Caenorhabditis elegans: one gene and its partner. The protein of the gene in region 1 interacts with the protein of each later gene in a biochemical or structural test. Each region holds a gene or a part of one and is shown in the gene's direction. Other genes may lie near its edges. The genes, in order: atf-7 and pmk-1.

The links.
Region 2: of the proteins of atf-7 (region 1) and pmk-1, one has a biochemical effect on the other in vitro, tested with the Caenorhabditis elegans proteins (one study listed by BioGRID).

What each region holds. Positions count from the first base shown.
Region 1 is NC_003281.10:4,492,623-4,496,554, reverse strand, and holds the start of atf-7 (Transcription factor atf-7), read left to right. Parts: upstream 1-2,104; 5' UTR 2,105-2,176; coding exon 2,177-2,368; intron 2,369-2,462; coding exon 2,463-2,876; intron 2,877-2,993; coding exon 2,994-3,397; intron 3,398-3,453; coding exon 3,454-3,745; coding exon of another isoform or gene 3,746-3,769; exon of another isoform or gene 3,770-3,786; coding exon 3,787-3,903; intron 3,904-3,932. UniProt on the Caenorhabditis elegans protein: Transcription factor which regulates the transcription of various genes, including those involved in innate immunity and oxidative stress responses. Binds to promoter regions of genes, probably at 5'-[GACGTCA]-3' consensus sequences.
Region 2 is NC_003282.8:8,146,497-8,150,428, forward strand, and holds the start of pmk-1 (Mitogen-activated protein kinase pmk-1), read left to right. Parts: upstream 1-2,297; 5' UTR 2,298-2,309; coding exon 2,310-2,458; intron 2,459-2,502; coding exon 2,503-3,068; intron 3,069-3,435; coding exon 3,436-3,800; intron 3,801-3,932. Other genes in the region: Mitogen-activated protein kinase pmk-2, read left to right, coding at 557-634, 686-800, 1,129-1,200, 1,250-1,346, 1,431-1,635, 1,686-1,835. UniProt on the Caenorhabditis elegans protein: Serine/threonine kinase which responds to activation by environmental stress and pro-inflammatory cytokines by phosphorylating downstream targets. As part of a MAP kinase signaling pathway, plays a role in modulation of lifespan and immunity.

The sequences.
Region 1 (3,932 bases):
CAATTTCGAAGCACTTGCTCAATTTCCTCTTCCTCGTTGAATGTTTTTGTCAACATTCCTTTTATTAAATAGTTCAGAGACATTCTGTCTAAATAAAAGTACAATACCCTCGTTTTCATTTCAAGTTAGGCATTGAACAATTTTAATCACTTGATAACTACTATCAGTGTGCAAAACATTATATATTTTCCATCCTCTTTTTTAATAGAAACAAACAAAAACATGATGACATCATTTTTGGACAACACGGAGACACCACCCAATTCTCCTCTCTTTTCTCACTTTTCAATCTGACAGTCTGATAGTTTTCGATGATGACGTAAGAGACAGAAAAGGCAAAATAGAAGATCGTGTCACGAAAGAGAAGCGCCTCTCTGATTTTTGTCGACCGCCGTTATCATATCAAAGATACGAAAATTGGCAGCAAAGATTCACAACGTCGTCATTTTTGTCGCGCTTTTTCTGTTTTGCGACGATTTTTAATTGCGTCCATGTTGCACCGATTTCGGACTTCCCTCAACTATTTAAATTCAGTTTCATTTTCCTTCTTTCTCCTTCTCGAATAATTTTCCAATTAGTCAGCAAATGAATTTCAGGCAAAAAACTTTTAATAAATCCGCTCCCTCTTTATTTTTTCTCATGTGACTCTTTTTCCAATGAAGCGTGTGCTCACACTAATCCGTTTATCATTGATAAAACGACTTCCGACGAATTAGGTTCAATGTGATCACTCTTCTTCGTTAAAAACCTATTCAAAAGTGAATTCAATTACACGGTGTTTGATTCTAGCTCTACAAATTCCCGGTTAGTTTCGGTTAGAACGTGGCCGGAAGTTTTTAAGTTCTATATTGAGAAGTTTGATTGTATGGTCAACTTCTCCATGAACTTTTGATTCTTTCTAATCCATCCAACCGTTCTTAATATCATACATATTTCTGTAACGTATTTTTTGACACCGAACTTTGAAAATCGAAAAAGACGAGAATAAAACTGTGATCCAAAAACTATTAGTGTGTGTCTTCAAGATTAGGATCAATTTCGATTCTCGTCATGTTTCAATGCGGCTGATTCACTGAACGTTTCTTTTATTCGGTACGCGTTTACCCCCACACCGCTATCATTTGTTCTTCGATCTTCTTCTTCTCTTCCGTGTGCCCCATGTTTTTTGTGTTTCATCAAATTCGCAATTCGTCCTTGATCAGAATCGTTTCTCAACTATTTTTCCATCATCACCTCTAAAAATTCTCTGGATAACTATTTTGCACTGGAGAATTCGATATAAATGGCCATGAGAACCTCTAACACGGACATGTGTGGATTTACGCAGCCAGTGTACTCCCCGAGGAGAAGTGTGTGGGCTAAAATACTGGATCTCACACGATTTTCGGTATCAAATACAAAAATATATCGCAAAAATTGTTTTAAACAATCAAAAATTTTGGCCAAGACCTTCTTCAAAAATTCAATTCACACTTCTCCTCGAGGAGTACACGAACAGCGTAAATCGACACAGTTTTTTTTCGTGAAATTGAAGAAAAAACAAAAGTTTCTCGAAAACATTTACGTACAAAAGAAAAAATCAAAACTTTGTCTGATTAGTAGTGTCCTCCTACAGTAACTATCATTTTTATCATCATCATTATCGTCTTGTCGTCGTCACTATCATCACCACTAGAATCGTCATGTGACGTGCGAAACAATTGAAAAGTGTTCCGTACCGCCCATCTCTCTCTCTCCTTTAGTTATCCCCACCGCTTTTTTTCTCGCGCCAACAAATTTTTTGATCTCTGCGGTTTTTCCCCCCAATTTCGATTCGTTGGGGTTTTCTGTTAACTGCAACATTTTGTCGATCTGTTGACGTCACCTGACTGTTTGAGGTCTCCTCACGAAATATTCACAATTTGGTGGAGAGTTTCGATGATGGAAAATTGATAAAAGACATTGGTCAATTGATGTCACATACACACACCCCTCCGGGTTATCATGTCAAACAAAGCACACAACATTTCCGTCTTTTCTCGCTTTTTTTTTCTTCTTCTTCGCCGTTTCACTTCTTCACCCTCTGAATTCTCTGATTCATTCGAACATTTTGTCTTGTTTCTAGCTTCTGCTGCCCCAAACATTCAATCATTTGATGAGCTGTATTGCTGCTGCTCCTCTAGCAGCACCACCGTCTATGGCGACGACGATGATGACGTCATCAGCGTCGCCTCCAGAATCTGGAGAACTTGACGTGGCATCTGCGGTTGCTTCAGCCGCAGCCGCACTCATAAGTCCGATGGTTATGCCAACGTCGATGACAAATGGGAAAGATATGACGAAAACTTCTCAGATTCTTAATGAATATTTCAATATGATGGTGGGAAAGGTAAAATGTGGCAAAAATTGTATCAAGTCTAAAAAAGAAAATCGAAAATTTCTAAAATTCATATACACCGATTTTCTAATTTTTTATTTTTCAGCGCGTCCAATTGATGGGCGACACAACGTCTCCATTCAGTCTCGATACTCCAAACCCAAAATTAATGTTCACTCCACTTGATCTACCAACAACCGCTGAACTAATGCAACGATGTCTAGCAGTAAATCCATTCGAAGCAAAGTTCCGAGAAGCGAATCAAAAGATCAGTTCTGGAAGTATGCAACCAAATACATCAGGTGCAAATCAATCTCTTGAAGCTTTGGAAGCCAATGGAGGTTCACAATTTTCGGGAAGTAATGCCGGAACAATGTCGGATCTTTTATTGAAAATACCACAAGCATCACTTCAACATTCGCCTGGAATATTTTCAAATATGCTTCTAAATGCTGGAGATTCGGAGGGAACGACTCGAGAAAATCTGAAAACCGCGGACATTTCCAAATTGTTATCTGTGGTGAGTTTTTGATCGAAAAATCGAGAATCATGTCATTACGGTGTGTGATTTAGAAAGAATTATGACAAATTTGTGATTAAAAATTAGAGTTTCTGTTCTTATCAGTAACGTTTTCAGGCCGGTGACTTCTCGGCTCAAGCTCCACGAACTGCCGACGTTTTAAACGCGGTACTCGACATGCACTCTGATAGACTTCATACAATCAACTATTTGAATAATAAGCCTGATTTCTCGGCACTCCTTCGTTCTCCATCTTCTTCCGCACCCAATTCAGCATCTGTTCTTACGAATGCGATGGCTATTCCATCTACAAGTGGAGCACCTTTTCCTGGAACAACACTGCTTGTTCCTCCAAAAACTGTGAGCTCCTATCACTCACCACTTGGAGCATCATCACAACCTCCATCCACACAAAAATCACCAGCTGATGGAAGTTGGGATCATATAAACGGAGAAAAGCAGATCAAAAAGGAAATTCCATATTTTAATGATGATGCAATGATGTTGATGGAAAGGAGCAAGTGAGTTTTTGAATTTTCGAGAATTTAGAATTTTAGAATAATGTTTTTAATTTCAGTATGTCATCTTCGGGATCTGATCAAGATCAGTCTGCAGATATGTCAAATGCTGGATCAACTGCTTCAACGAGTACTGGAAATCCAGTTGGACGTCCACAAAACGGTACACCTGGCCGTGGACGTGGTCGAGGAAGAAGCACAACAGCCGACATGCAACCCGACGAGAGGAGGAATACAATTCTCGAGAGAAATAAGGCTGCGGCTGTGAGATATCGTAAGAGGAAGAAGGAAGAACATGATGATATGATGGGAAGAGTTCAAGCAATGGAGGCTGAAAAGAATCAATTACTGGTGAGAAATGAGATCTTGTATTGATGTCTACGTTTAATTAGGCTATTCAGACACAAAATCAAGTGCTGCGACGGGAACTCGAAAGGGTAACTGCGTTGCTTACTGAAAGAGAGTCACGATGCGTTTGTCTGAAAGGAGTTCCAATGAGTGATGAGCAGGTTTGTTTTCTTTTCTGAGAATTTCAAAA
Region 2 (3,932 bases), on another chromosome or scaffold:
TCCATTTTTTGACTTTTTTCTCTAAGTTTCCTCACATTCAATTCTACTACGGTTTTGTTTCATTTTTCATGATAAAAGTGGTATGCTGGCAGACTATTGTTTACATAGTACACACTTCTTTTTTTTTTCTTTTTTTGTTGAAAAAAAATCTTTTGAAAGCTTTTTAAACTTTTTTCAATCTGAAAATTAAAAAAAACATTGAATTTTGCGTTTTGTGGTAATATATTTAAAATATGAGCTTTTAAATTTATTTTCTGTTTCAGAGAATGGGAAAACTTCTTATAAGAACAGATTTTAACTTGTTGAACATTAAAATACTTTTTAATCTAAACAGTTTGATGTGAACAGTTGCAAATAACGCTTCAGTACATGAGTCACCAAAATTTCAATTCAACTATTATTCTGAAAAAATTAATGCATCCTTTTCAAAGAAGAAACACACGTTTTAGGCTGGTTAAATCTTACAACAGCTTTGTTTCAAATATTTCTTCCAAAAATTCTTTGATCTTTTTCTCCTAATACTCTTTTACATTCAAATATTTTCCTATTCTTGCAGTATATCCATTCGGCAGGGATTATCCATCGCGATTTAAAACCATCGAATATTGCTGTCAATGAGAGATGCGAAGTCAAGGTTTTTCTTAGTTTTTCTCAACTTTCTTTCCTAATTCTTTCATTTTTCAAGATTCTCGATTTTGGATTGGCTCGTGCTCAAGACGCCGAAATGACTGGATACGTGGCAACAAGATGGTACAGAGCTCCAGAGATTATGCTCAATTGGATGCATTATACACAGACTGGTGAGTAAATAAAAGAAATTGGTTTCTATGCACTTAAATAGTCACCTAAAATCTTTGAACTAAATTGTTAAATATCATATGATTTGAGGTTAACTTCTGACATTTTGAAAGCATGTTTCACCTGTTTCTTGTAGTTATGCTAAAACGTGTGAAAATATGAAGAATAAACTTTGACTTGATATTGGTATTTCTGGTTTCTGCAATTCTCTCTCTATTCCAACTTCCTATTTTTTCAAATAAACGAAAAACTTGATATATTTATCACATGAAACAAAAACATCATTTTTTTTTACTTCTAAAAATGTTACCAAAATATTGAATTTTTCAGTTGATGTTTGGTCAGTTGGATGTATTCTTGCGGAACTGGTATCCGGGAGACCATTGTTTCCAGGCGATGATCGTGAGTTTTATTCTATTCCTCTAATACTTTAAATATTTAAAATTTGCAGATATTGATCAGCTAACAAAGATAATGTCAGTTGTGGGTACCCCAAAAGAAGAATTCTGGTCCAAAATTCAATCAGAAGAAGCTCGAAATTATATTAAGTTAGTGTTGCAAATACTTCTGAAATTCAATTACTAGACTAGAACTGAAAAAAAAAATAAATCGTTTACGCAAAAATCTTTCAGAAATCGTTCTCCAATTATCCGTCAGGACTTCGTTACATTGTTTCCAATGGCTTCTCCATATGCTCTCGAACTTCTCGAAATGATGCTAATTTTGGATCCGGACAGAAGAATTTCTGTATCAAGTGCTCTTCGTCATGACTATCTTCGTGAATACTCTGTGCCAAATGATGAACCAGTTGCAATGGATACGGTAATAAATAGCATAGTACGAAATTTAAGTTCGCTTCTCTAAAAGTACTCCAATTTTCTTGTTAGGTCACAATTGATCCAGCTGAAGAACGAGCAACAACGTTATCCGACTGGCGAGAGTTAATTTGGAATGAGATTCGATTATTCCAAAACTCGGCACGAAGACTAAGTTTTGTAAGCTGTACGGATACGGAAGAAGAGCCAATGAAAATATGAAGTCAAATGTGTTCAAGTGCTAAAATATCTCAAAACTGTGGAATTTTCTTTTTTCTATATTGTATCTCCCTAAACTATTTATTTCACTAAAAATCAAATTTGTGTCCCTAATTCCTTGATCTCTAATTATCCAACAATCGATCTCAGATGTTCTTTTCCACAAAATCTCAATTTTTTCCTTTGAAACCATAGACTTGTGATTTACCTTAACTTTCTCGTTAATCCTATAAGTTGCCATGACCTCAGAGCCTCTTTTAATTTATTATTCATTTAGATTCATTTATCAAATTGAAGTGTATAAAGAATTAATGTAAATATTCAATTTTCTAAATACTCTTAAACATTTAATCGGTTCAAATTGCCGCTTAATTTTTATATTTACATTTATATTGGTTTTACGTACACAAAAAAATCATATTTTTTTCAAAATAATTACTTCAAATCTTACAAACATGATTCCAGGTAACGGAGCCAATGTTTCCACAGACAACAATGGATCATATACTTCATCCGACTCCACGAGAAGGATACTATGTCGTTGAGCTTAATCGAAGTGTCTGGGTTGTTCCAAATTATTATATTAACTTGACTCCAATTGGTACCGGAGCATATGGAACTGTTTGGTATGTCATTTCAACTGATTTTTACTTTATTTTTCGATTTTTAGTGCTGCTGAATGTACTCGCTCGGGGACTCGCGTCGCAATCAAAAAATTCAATCGTCCATTTCAATCAATAATTCATGCCCGTCGTACATATCGTGAACTCCGACTTCTTCGTTGTATGTGTCATGAAAATATAATTGATCTACTTGATGTCTTCACTCCAAATGAGAATGTAAATGATATCGAGGATGTGTATTTTGTATCAATGTTGATGGGAGCTGATCTATCAAATATTCTCAAAATTCAGCGACTCAACGATGACCACATTCAATTCTTAGTCTATCAAATTCTTCGTGGACTCAAATACATTCATTCTGCAGATATTATTCATCGAGATCTTAAACCATCAAATATTGCTGTTAATGAGGATTGTGAATTGAAAATTCTTGATTTTGGATTGGCACGTCAAACTGATTCTGAAATGACTGGATACGTGGCAACAAGATGGTACAGAGCTCCAGAGATTATGCTCAATTGGATGCATTACACGCAGACTGTTGATGTATGGTCAGTTGGGTGTATTCTTGCAGAACTTATCACTGGAAAAACATTGTTCCCTGGATCTGATCGTAAGACTTTTTTTCTACAATATTCCAAATATCTTCAATTTCCAAGCAAAAAACCAGAGTAAATATTTATGGTTGTTAACTTTATTGTACACTGGCGTTTCATAACATAGAAAAAAAATCATTTTGCTAAGTTATTCGTACCGTAGCAGGCGGAAAAAATTTATAATTAATTATTACCTCTTATTGCAAATTTTGGTAGTTTATCTCCAGTTGATTTGAGGATTTAGGCGCATTTGTAGTCGCGGTGTTAACTACCAAAATATGGACTAAGATAATTCAATAAAAACAAACAAAACAACAAAAAACAAAACACAAACGTTATTTTCTTTTGAAAATGTAGACTTTTCATTTAAAACTACTGTTTCAGACATCGATCAATTGACTCGTATCATGTCAGTAACTGGAACACCAGATGAAGAATTCCTTAAAAAGATCTCATCAGAAGAAGCTCGTAATTACATTCGAAATCTTCCAAAAATGACTCGCCGTGATTTCAAACGTCTGTTTGCTCAAGCAACTCCTCAAGCAATCGATCTCCTTGAAAAGATGCTTCACCTTGATCCAGATCGTCGTCCAACTGCAAAAGAAGCTATGGAGCATGAATATCTGGCTGCTTATCACGATGAAACTGATGAGCCAATTGCAGAAGAAATGGATTTGAATGATGATGTAAGGGCAGATACAATTGATGAATGGAAGAAAATTATTTGGGAAGAGATCAGTGATTTCCAGGTAATATATATTTACACTTGTTTTTGAACCAACTAATTATGCATAAAATCAAACGAAGGACACCCCCAGTGGGTTCATTTTGTGATCAAAATTCATTTCCGACTGTCAAAAACGTATCAATTTAAGCGGTTA